Sus scrofa: one gene and its partners. The protein of the gene in region 3 interacts with the protein of the main gene of each other region in a biochemical or structural test. Links are inferred from orthologs where the notes say so. Each region holds a gene or a part of one and is shown on either strand. Other genes may lie near its edges.

Region 1 (2,671 bases), about 34 Mb from region 3:
CAGGTCCCAAGAGAGAAACCCACCTGGAAACCATAGAGGCAGATGACGCACTGGCCGTGGGGGATGTTGTTATCTGTAAGGATTTCCTTCCCTTTCTGCGGGGAGAGAAGACACTGTTTAAACAGGGAGGCGGCAGCCAGAACTATGAGCAAAGCTCATTCTCCCAGCAGTGACCTGCTGGACTGTTCCCACCAAGCCAATTTATCTCACGTTCACACGATTCTTTTTCTTTAGGGCCGCAACTGCGGCACATGGAAGTTCCTGGGCTAGGGGTCAAATCAGAGCCGCAGCTGCCGGCCTACACCACAGCCACAGCAAAAAAGGATCTGAGCTGCATCTGCAACCTACACAGCAACACCGGATCCTTAACCTACTGAGCGAGGCCAGGAATCAAACCTGCATCCTCATGGATACTAGTTGGGTTCTTAACAGGCTGAGCCACAATGGGAACTCCCCGTGTTCATGCATTTCTGTTTTGATTTTTCTTTCTTTCTTTCTTTCTTTTTTTTTTTAAGGGCTGAACCCGTTGGCACATGGAGGTTCCCAGGCAAGGGTCCAATTGGAGCTGTAGTTACCGGCCTACACCACAGCTCATGGCAATGCCAGATCCTTAACCCACTGAGCGAAGCCAGGCATCGAACTGGCATCCTCATGGATCCTAGCTGGGTTCTTTAACCACTGAGCCACGATAGGAACTCCTATTTCTGTCTTGGTGATCTCCCTCTGCTTGGAATTAATCCTCTTCCACATCCTCGCCCTCCCCCCAAATCTGCCCAGCTGCAAAATCCAGTTTCATTGTTTTCCTACTCATTAAGTCACCGTTTATACATCTTGGGGATGGAAATACAACACCTTAGAGAGAAAAAAAAATGTTCAAATAAAACTCATATCCTCTGGGAGGACTTTCCGGGTTATCCCCCTGCTCTGGAGTCAGCTTTCAGAAAGAAAGTGAAGGCACTGACACCCCAAACGGACAGAGAATTCACAAGGCATTGGGCTGAGCTATGAAATATGCATCTGCGATACTGTTTGAATAGCTAATACTCTGGAATTCCACCAAGTTCAAAGCTGCATTGTGGAGGCCTGACTCAGAAGCGCTACAGTGGTCTTTGCCCACTTGGACTCCAGGCCGCCCACCTTCATTCTTTTCTGCATATCTTCTCAAAAACGCAGAGGAAAACAAGACTGTATTTGTATTTTCTGATCTCAAACAACCAACGTTACCTGTGTATTTTAACTCAGAGCTCTAGGTATGGTTTCCTGTGGGTCGTTTCCTTCACTAGGGTTCTCTGAGTAAAAGAACCAAGACCTTCTAGTTGGCCAATGGCCAACTAGCCTCCAAATGTTCATTTACGGCTAGACCCTGTAGCCAAGGTCCAGCTGAACCAAGGTCAAGTGTTCACTTATGGCTAGAAGCTCTAGGCAAGATCTCTTACTACTTTCAGCTGCCAACGCCAAGAGAACAAGAAATGCACTGACACTGCAGCAAGAAAAGATGCAAGTCAAAGAGGAGAAGTAATTTTCTGTCAAGATGCTGGAATATACAGCAAAAGTTATCACAACCCTGTAAACCAACTATATTTCACTAAAACTTCAAAAAGATGCTGGAATAGTTAACTTGGCAAAGCGAAAGAACTGTCTTTCGGGGAGACTTTTTGTAACAGAAGAGCATTTCATGTCTCTGGATCAGTTGAGGCTTTACCTAAACAATAATTAAATGAATGTCTCCAGATGTGGTGGAGTCCAGGCCCATGGTCTCCCTTGAAAGAAACTGCTCTCGCTGGAAGGGAAGGACTTTTTCTAACACACTTCTCACCTCGATGAGCTCATAGAGCATGGCCGTACCCAGTCCAGCCTCAGCCACATGGCTCAGCGCCTGTGAGATCCTGGAGAGAGAGAGAGACAGCAACGCAAACATTAGGCCTGCCGCCTGCCCTCACCAGACTGGGCTGTATCCCAAGCTTCCCCTGCGCTGACCAGCCCGACCTACTTGTGGATCTGTTCATCTGAGAGTCCTCGGGGGTTACGGATAGAGATCTGTGGCACCTCATGGGGATACTAAGAGGAGAAAGTGACAAGTTACTGCCAAAGCACTTCACCCTGGGGCCTCTCCCCTGCCTCCCATTGTTGCCATAAAGTCGAGGCCTCACCTGTGCTGGAACCTGAAGCACCAGAGTGAAGCAGACATACTGCGAATCCTGGTCTTCGGCAGTGGCGGGGTGCAGGGTGATGGAGATCTCCCACGGTGACGATCTGCAGGTGGATGGAGTGGAGACCTGGGATGTGACTGGGCAGGGGCTTGAGGGCTGGGGAGGATGGTGGTGAGAAAGGAAAGCGGCCAGAGGAAGTAAGCATCGGGCTCTTTCTTGGGGGGCATTAAAGGAATAGTCTTTGTCTACATGACAGAAATATCTGAATCCAGGCACTCAGATACTTCATGGAGTCCTCTCCTTCCCAAGGGGACTCCTGCCCACCTCTAGTTAAATACATACCTGCTATTTCCTTTAACCACCTGTAGTTCATCCAGGTAGATTGACTCTAACACTTCAACTTCAGAGGGAAGGACCCTAGAGAGACAGGGGGAGACTGACTCACCATGACAGCTCTCCCTGTTAAACCCCACCAAGGCCACTGAAGACTGGCTCTGCAGAAAAATGGCAATCGGCCTGAG
Region 2 (4,209 bases), on a different chromosome or scaffold from region 3:
TCACACATGTGGTTGGTCCTTAACGAAATGACACTTGAGTGTGAATGATGATTCCTGCTATTTCAGTGAAGTCTGGGTGAAGAGACAGAAAGAAGCAAAAAGACATCACCTAGAATTCCCGTTGTGGCTCAGCAGTAATGAACCCGACTGATATCCATGAGGACACGGGTTCAGTCCCTGGCCTTGCTCAGTGGGTTAAGAATCTGGCATTGCTGTGAGCTGTGGTGTAGGCTGGCAGATACAGCTCTGATTGGACCCCTAGCCTGGGAACTTCCATATGCTGCAGGTGCAGCCCGAAAAAGACAAACAAAAACAAAAGCAAAAACCAGACATGGCCTAGTGGCTCTGACACTGACCCCGCAGTTGCTGGAAACAGAACCATCTTTTATTTCCTTGTCTCTTTAATGGTCCGGAGAGTGGGCTTTGGAGACGAGCAGGCTAGACCTGATGGGGATCCTGGTTGCCCTGCATACCAGCTATGGGCTCTGGGGCAAGTTAGTTAACCCTTCTGGTCTCGGCTTCTCATTTGTAAAAATCGGGGTGACAATTATACATCATAGGGTTGCTTTGAGAATAAATGAGATGATGTATTTTTGATATTTAATAAGAAGATAGTGCCTAAAAAGGAAACATGCAATAGGAATGTTTTGTTTTGCTTTTTTTAACTATTTACATGCTTTTACTGTTTTATTCTTTTTTTTTTTTTATCATTGCTGTTATTTTTAGGCCTTAGAGGTTTCCTCGGACATAGACCTTTGTGAGGATGTAGCCTTGATCTACAGGCATGAGGATGCCTTTTTAGCGGAGACTTAGGAACTTTTAAAAATAAAAGTTTATCTAGAAAAATAAATTTAAAAGAAACTGTTTAGAAATATCCTTTCTCGCATTAGAAAAGTGACTTAAACCATTTTCTCCTTCTTATAGGCCTAAATATTAGGTGTAAAATAATATAGCGATCAATCATAGAAAACTTGATTTAGTATATAGAGGATTTTCATAAGAGCAGATTGCTTATATTGTACAACTGATTTGAGTGCATTAAAAAGCATTTTATTCTTTCAGTCTCTTTTTTCATTCGTTGAATTATTTCTGCTCATTTTAAAAGTATTATCTGGGAGTTCCCTGGTGGCTCAGTGAGTTAAGGATCCAGCATTGTCACTGCTGTGGCTCAGGTCCAGTCCCTGGCCCCAGAACTTCCACATGCCTCAGAATAAATCAATAGTAACAATTATTATTTTTGTCCCTTACAGGTAAACCCATCTAATCACAGACTCTTGTTTGAAGTATTTGATGAAAATAGATTGGTAAGTGGTTCCTGATTTTTAATTTTTGCTTCATTTTTTAAAAATTGAATTTTCAGCACATCTTTAAAAAGTCTATATGTGTTTTATTTCTCACAGCATACATGTCCCTCAAAAAGACTATTTTTGTCCCATTACTAGTTTAATGTTCGTAATTCAAACAAATATTTTTGTGTGGGTAGGACAAAATTTATTTGTACCTGTGTAAGTTTTTAATCATAGTTAATATTCATGACCATCACACTGGTGGTATATCAAGCCATATATGCTTATACTCCTCTGTTGGGGATACAAAGAGGTGGGCAAATCTCATTACTCATGGAAATAAACCTTTCAGGATTTTTATATGTAAGCCAGACTTTGAGACTGTGACACGTTCAATAGTGAATCTCTTTGGGATGACAGAAATCTAATTAACAGTATATAGCAAAAAGTGAATCTATATTTAGCAGGTAAAATTAAGCTGTATTTTAAAAGCGGTGCTTTCTCAAGGGAAATTCAAAGAAAGTACCTTCAAAGAACCAGAGGTATGCCTAAGGCATAAAACTAGTACTAATATGTTGTATAGATTATAGGTTAAAAATACTTATATATGGTTGCCTGCATGAGGCAAATTCAAGTTTTGCTTTTTGGAACTTTCTGGAATTTTTTTTCTAGATATTTTTGATTTGCAGTTGGTTGAAACCGTGAATACAGAACCTGCAGATGTGGGGGGGGGAGTCCAACCATGTATTAATTGCTTAAAGGAAATGTTATTATGAATCCTTCCTTCTGCAGAAGTCACCTGAAACTCCAAGTTTTTGAATAGCTTGAGTTTAATAGAATATTTGATCTGGAGGAGGCTTATAATACAACTCATTTAATTCCCTGTCCTTGCATGTGAGAGAACTGAGATCTAGAGCCTTGATGTAATTACATACCTGCCCGTCTATTAAGTCTCAGGCCATTGGTGGTGAATAGCCAGGCCTTAACCCTTAGTATTGAACCTAGGAGTATATTTGATCTCCTATGCCTGGAATTATTCTCCAAATTAGAAAGCAACAGATGCTGGCCTACCATCCTGATATATTTTCTATTCAAATATACGGATTCTCGGCGGCTTTGCATTGAACTTGACATTTTATACCTTGGGTGATGCTTAGTAGTACTGAATAGCTAAATCAGTTTTGCCCGGTGCACGAAGTTATTTTGCTGTTAAATCAAATGAGAAATTCTGCTTGAGGGTGTAGTTCTTGGTGCTCCATCTCCTGTCCAGAAACACCGATTGGGCAGAGTTCAGCAGAGTCCCAGAGTCCACAGATGGAGCCACAGATTAATCCTTACTCTCTCTTTTATTGTGTCTTACAACATTTCTTCAAGGTGAAGAAATGGTCAGCTTTGTGGAAAAAACTGTCTCTTGTCAGATGTGTTTTAACTCATTTAACTCTTCTATTGAAAGAAATTCTCTGTAAAAAATGTTTCCCATTTCCCTTATCTAAAAGAATCACTGTTGTTGAGAGGACCTTGCCATGAGCCTAAAACTTATACTTCCAAGCCGAATAGGGCTTTGAATGCAGAGCTCTAAGAAATCTCATGTGAAACTTTATCTGAAAAACTGTTTTATGTACCTAGCTTTGCCCCAGGCTGTCTGCATCCTTGTTACTATGCGTGAATGCTGCTGCTGGTGGTTTTTTCTTTGTTGGCTATTAATCCAGCAGAGACACTACGTGACTATAGTGGTACTTGGCAGTTTTCACATTAAACAAACTAGCTTCCATTTCTCTCATAGAGATCATTTTTGGCATTTAAAACACATGCCTTTAGAAAACAGGTTTGGATGTATATAAACACAAGGTTAATCCTCCACACTCTGGACTCCAGAGCTGTTGACAAAGTCAACATATATTAAAATAAACTTTTTGTCACTTTTTGCAGCTTGGTATTCCCACATCCCTTCCCTTCTTACTTCCTCCGAAATAAGCCTCTTTGTTAATAACTCGTGTTTCAGGACAATGAAAAAGAGTATGTTTAAAACACTCAGAATATATCCAAGTTAGCTACAAATCCGATGACAGCTTTTTGAACGTGGACTTTCACTTTTATTACTTAGGTCTTTTTTGACCCTTCACAAAAATGTCAAGATTCTATGTTTCCCAACTGGGCTGATATTGCTGGCTTCTTACTGGAAAACAGTCAGCCAGCTCCAGTCAGCCTTTTTTTCCTGCATGGTATTGAAATTAACTTATTACAGAAACCACATGCATACCCTTTAATTTTCCTTCTCCTTTTTTTTGGGGCGGGGGTATTGTTTTCTCTCCTATCTGGCATATGGGAGAGAATGTTTTCTCCAGCTGGGTTCTTTTTCTCTGGTCACTAACATGTCCGAGAATCCTATTATGTGTGAGATGGTGTGCCGCCAGCACCTCCCTCCCCCATCGTTTAAATGAAAAACGTCGTAACCAGAGGCAGACCACTGCTGGGGAGTGTTGTAAGCGGTGCCCCTTTCCACTTAGCTATTTTGTTACTTGTAGGTCATGGTCTAATTATTTAGCATTAAATGGCGGGGTGTGTAATCGTATTTATAGTACGTTTTATTAGTTTGCATTCCATCATGGTAGTGTGGTGATATCATAAATAACAGGGCAACATAACATCCGATTGCTGGAGAAAGGGTTTTCCTGCAGCCCCGGCATTTTTACTCAACAACGTTTGGTTTCGTGGGAAAGGTGGTGGGGTAGGTGGGGGAATACTATGGGCGCTTTTCTGTGTTAGGAGCCGGGTCTCTCTCCTGCATTGGTTGGAGAGTCCCGGGGCCCTGCTTGGTTCAGAAAGAAGTGTCCTGTGAGCGCCAATGCGGTTAGATTTATAGCAGCATGGCTCGGAGTGTGTTTGCTGCCTTAGTCAGCTGTGAGAGCTCCCTGCTGGGGCC
Region 3 (3,655 bases):
AATTGCTCTACTTCATTATTAGTTATTGTTAATTTCTCACTGCACCTAATGTATAAATTAAACTTTATCATAGGTATTTACGCATAGGAAAAATGGCATTAAATACGGTTCGGTACTATGCGTGGTTTTAGGCATCCACTGGGGTCTCAGAATGTATCCCCAAGAGTAAGGACGACTAGAATTGTTCTAACATAGCACATACTAGTTACACAGAGCTCTTAAAAGGTGGCTATAACAATTAATTTAAGCACTGAATGCAAACTGAATAGTGATATACTGGCATTTAGAATGTGTCATTTGGAATGTGAACACAATTTGCAATAAGACAGTCATTTCAAGATCTTAGATTCTGATGGGACCACATAGTAAAGCACTCAAAAAATAGTGATAGCTATACTTAAGAGCAAATACCTCTTGGTGATAGGGAACCTCGGTGTCTGCAATTTAAGGTAAATACCACTAGGTGGAAATGTTGTTACCTTATTCAATAAAGCAAAACAGAAAAGGTCTGCCTTCTTTTTTAAAACAAAATAAACCCTTTATTTTTACACACAAACACAACACACATGCACCTGAGTGGAGGCATTAAATCACTACATAAATGTTAAATAGTAGAGGGAATATAAGGAACTATGTTGAAAAGAAAAACATTTTATCAAAGTTAAGGGCTTGATAACACTGACATAACAAGGTTCTAATTATGCTCAGGCTTAATATCGGTGGTTTTTAACTGTTGTCTTGACCATTTTATAGGGGGAAGTCAGAGGAGAAAGCTAATCAAATAATTACTATGTTTAATACTTGAAAATTAATTGCCAGTCATCACAAGGCACAGCTCAAACATTCTCTCTTTATCCACCCAGTTCATATTCAGAGACAACAAGGAGGCATAAATAACCCAGCCATCTTCATTCCCATTAATTCATCATTACAGAGGGCACAAAATTAGTTTATTAAATAATATTAGTTCCCTCTTCTTTGCTATAGTTTTCTAGTTTTTTTCTGATCTATAAAGATAGGCTATTCAGCACAAATTTATTTTAATTCTTATTTCCAGAAGCGGTCAGATTTACTTTTTATCTCAATAGGTTCCTTACACAAAGTTCACAGGATTTTTTTCTCTCATAAGTCTAAAATTTACCTGCTTACTGATGTACTAAGTGGCATACAATTAACAAACTCTTGCTGATTACAAAGTTATTTGTGAAAGAAATCAATTACTTCTAGTTTTAACATTCCTGGTTATATGAGCGTTTCCAAATGAAAAACAATCAAATAAAAATAACTGCATCCACACATTTAACTCTAGAATAAATTAATTTTGGAAAAGAATGAACATTAAAAAATGCACTTCCAGGTTCTTACCTTTGGTGGTTTAAATGGATAATCAGATGAAAATGTGATATCCAGAAAAAATACACCACCTTCATATACAGAACCTGGTGGACCAAGTATAGTCGATCTCCATTCATAAATGTTATCTCCTTTAGGCCCAGCACTATTTAAAAGAAATTAAAAATCAATGTGTACATCTGTGAGCAATGAATATTAATATCTTAAACCAATTAAGTATCAAAGGCAAATTAGCAATCTAGAATAAACAGTAAATATATAAAAAATAAGCCCCAACTAACTTGTGCACGCATATGTATATAAACATGTTTGGAAATATTTCTAACTTACAGAAAAGCAAGAACAAGGAACACCTGTTTAACTTTATCCAGACTCTCCTTCTGTTAGCATTGTGCTCCATTTGTTCTATCATCTCCCTCTCTCCCTTCCTTCTCCCCCTCCTAAAATACATACACCCCACCAAACATATACACACACACACACACACAAAGCACACACACCCCACAGACACACAGAAAAAGTGTTTTTTTTCTGAGCCATTTGAGAGTAAGCTGAATATATCATGGCCCTTTCCCCATAAATATTTCAGTGGGCATTTTCTACAACCTATAATACAACTGCAATATAGCCATAATTTCAGTAAAAGTACAATCTATATGATATCTATAATCTGCAAAATAATTTTGTCAACTGACCAATAATGCCCCAAAAGATTTTTAGTTTTCCTTCAGATACATGATTCCAGTCTTGGTATTGATCGTCTATGCCCTTCCTGTGTCTTTAGTCCCCTTTAATAGAGAGAGCCTTTCAGTCTTACTTTGCCTTTTGTAATATCAACATTTTTGAAGAATGCAGTTCTTTTAATGGAATGCTCATCATTGTGAACCTGTCTGATATTTCCTCATGATTAGATGCAGAGAGTGCATTCCTGGCTAGAAGAGTACATAAGTGATGCTATGTTCTCAAGGTGTCACATCCAGAGGTACAATGGTGATGTTAATTTTCATTACCCAGATCAAATGCTGTCCCATTCTCCTACCTCTTACTTGGTATCTTTCCTCTGCAACCAATAAGCAACCTTTGGACACTTTAAGACCATGCAAATACCCTGGTCTTCACCAAATTTATTCCCCGGACTTAACATCAATTTGCGATTCTTGGTTGAACTAAACTTCATCATGATAGTGATAAAATCATCATTTTCCAACTTCAGCATTCCTCCATATTTACCAGCTGGCCCTTGAGCCCTCTCTTTTCCTGTTTGTATAAAAATGTGTTTTACAGATGAAGTTTCATGAGTTCCATTTTTTTTCCCCTAATGATTTAGAATTCTTACTGCATTTAATTATTTTGATGTTCAAACTGCCCCATATTTGGCCAGTGGAAATACTTTCAAAATGACCCCATATCGTTTTTTGGAACACTTCCTTATTTTCTGGCATAAATATGTTCCACGTTCCCACCCCTGAATCAGCCATTTCTTCAAAGAGCTGTGGTTCCTTTTAGTGAATGTTGTTCAAGCTAGTACCAAATTCCAAGTACATTACACTGTGTTCAAAACTATCATTTAATTTATAATATACAATGAGATAATTCAAATTAAATCCAAATTCAGTTGTTTGTAAGACACATCTAATATTCCTTAGACCCTCTTCAAATGTACATTACAGATTTCCATTTTTCCCTCAATTTTACATCACAGATTAACTTGTTTTTCTGAACTACGGTATATATAAAGCTTTTCTTAAGTGACCTATCAGTTTAGAAATGATCTGCATGTTTAGTTTAAAATAAGTGCATATCAGAATTGATAATGCAGGAGTTCCCGTTGTGGCGCAGTGGTTAACGAATCCGACTAGGAACCATGAGGTTGCAGACACGGCTAGGATCCCGCATTGCTGTGGCTCTGGCGTAGGCCGGTGACTACAGCTCCGATTCAACCCCTAGCCTGGGAACCTCCATGTGCCACAGGAGCGGCCCTAGAAAAGGCAAAAAAAGACCAAAAAAAAAAAAAAAAAAAAAAAAGAATTGATAATGCAACTGCATTAATTACAATAGGACATTCAGGTATAGGTTAAATGATTTAACCACATCTTATTAATTCTATAAAACATACACTGTAGACTGTAAAGATCAAGTAAGCAATGCTATCAATAATCAAATCTGTGCCCTGAAAACAGGTCATAGAAAAAGAGTGTAAAAACTTTGATAGTAAAATCAAAATGTTTCAAAAACCTATCTTTAATGCATATATATGAACAAGAAAATTTTACTATCACAGCCTACTTAGGGAAAAGAAACT

What was found.
Region 1: the proteins of UBE2E3 (region 3) and RNF25 form a complex in vitro, tested with the Homo sapiens proteins (2 studies listed by BioGRID, with this or other methods). The link is inferred for Sus scrofa from reciprocal best matches to the Homo sapiens genes UBE2E3 and RNF25.
Region 2: the proteins of UBE2E3 (region 3) and NEDD4L form a complex in vitro, tested with the Homo sapiens proteins (3 studies listed by BioGRID). The link is inferred for Sus scrofa from reciprocal best matches to the Homo sapiens genes UBE2E3 and NEDD4L.

What each region holds. Positions count from the first base shown.
Region 1 is NC_010457.5:120,714,152-120,716,822, forward strand, and holds part of RNF25 (E3 ubiquitin-protein ligase RNF25), read right to left. Parts: intron 2,568-2,671; coding exon 2,493-2,567; intron 2,254-2,492; coding exon 2,151-2,253; intron 2,059-2,150; coding exon 1,991-2,058; intron 1,887-1,990; coding exon 1,817-1,886; intron 96-1,816; coding exon 24-95; intron 1-23. UniProt on the Homo sapiens protein: E3 ubiquitin-protein ligase that plays a key role in the RNF14-RNF25 translation quality control pathway, a pathway that takes place when a ribosome has stalled during translation, and which promotes ubiquitination and degradation of translation factors on stalled ribosomes.
Region 2 is NC_010443.5:162,513,964-162,518,172, reverse strand, and holds the start of NEDD4L (E3 ubiquitin-protein ligase NEDD4-like), read left to right. Parts: upstream 1-1,353; 5' UTR 1,354-4,209. UniProt on the Homo sapiens protein: E3 ubiquitin-protein ligase that mediates the polyubiquitination of lysine and cysteine residues on target proteins and is thereby implicated in the regulation of various signaling pathways including autophagy, innate immunity or DNA repair.
Region 3 is NC_010457.5:86,554,257-86,557,911, reverse strand, and holds part of UBE2E3 (ubiquitin-conjugating enzyme E2 E3), read right to left. Parts: intron 1,499-3,655; coding exon 1,366-1,498; intron 1-1,365. UniProt on the Homo sapiens protein: Accepts ubiquitin from the E1 complex and catalyzes its covalent attachment to other proteins. In vitro catalyzes 'Lys-11'- and 'Lys-48'-, as well as 'Lys-63'-linked polyubiquitination.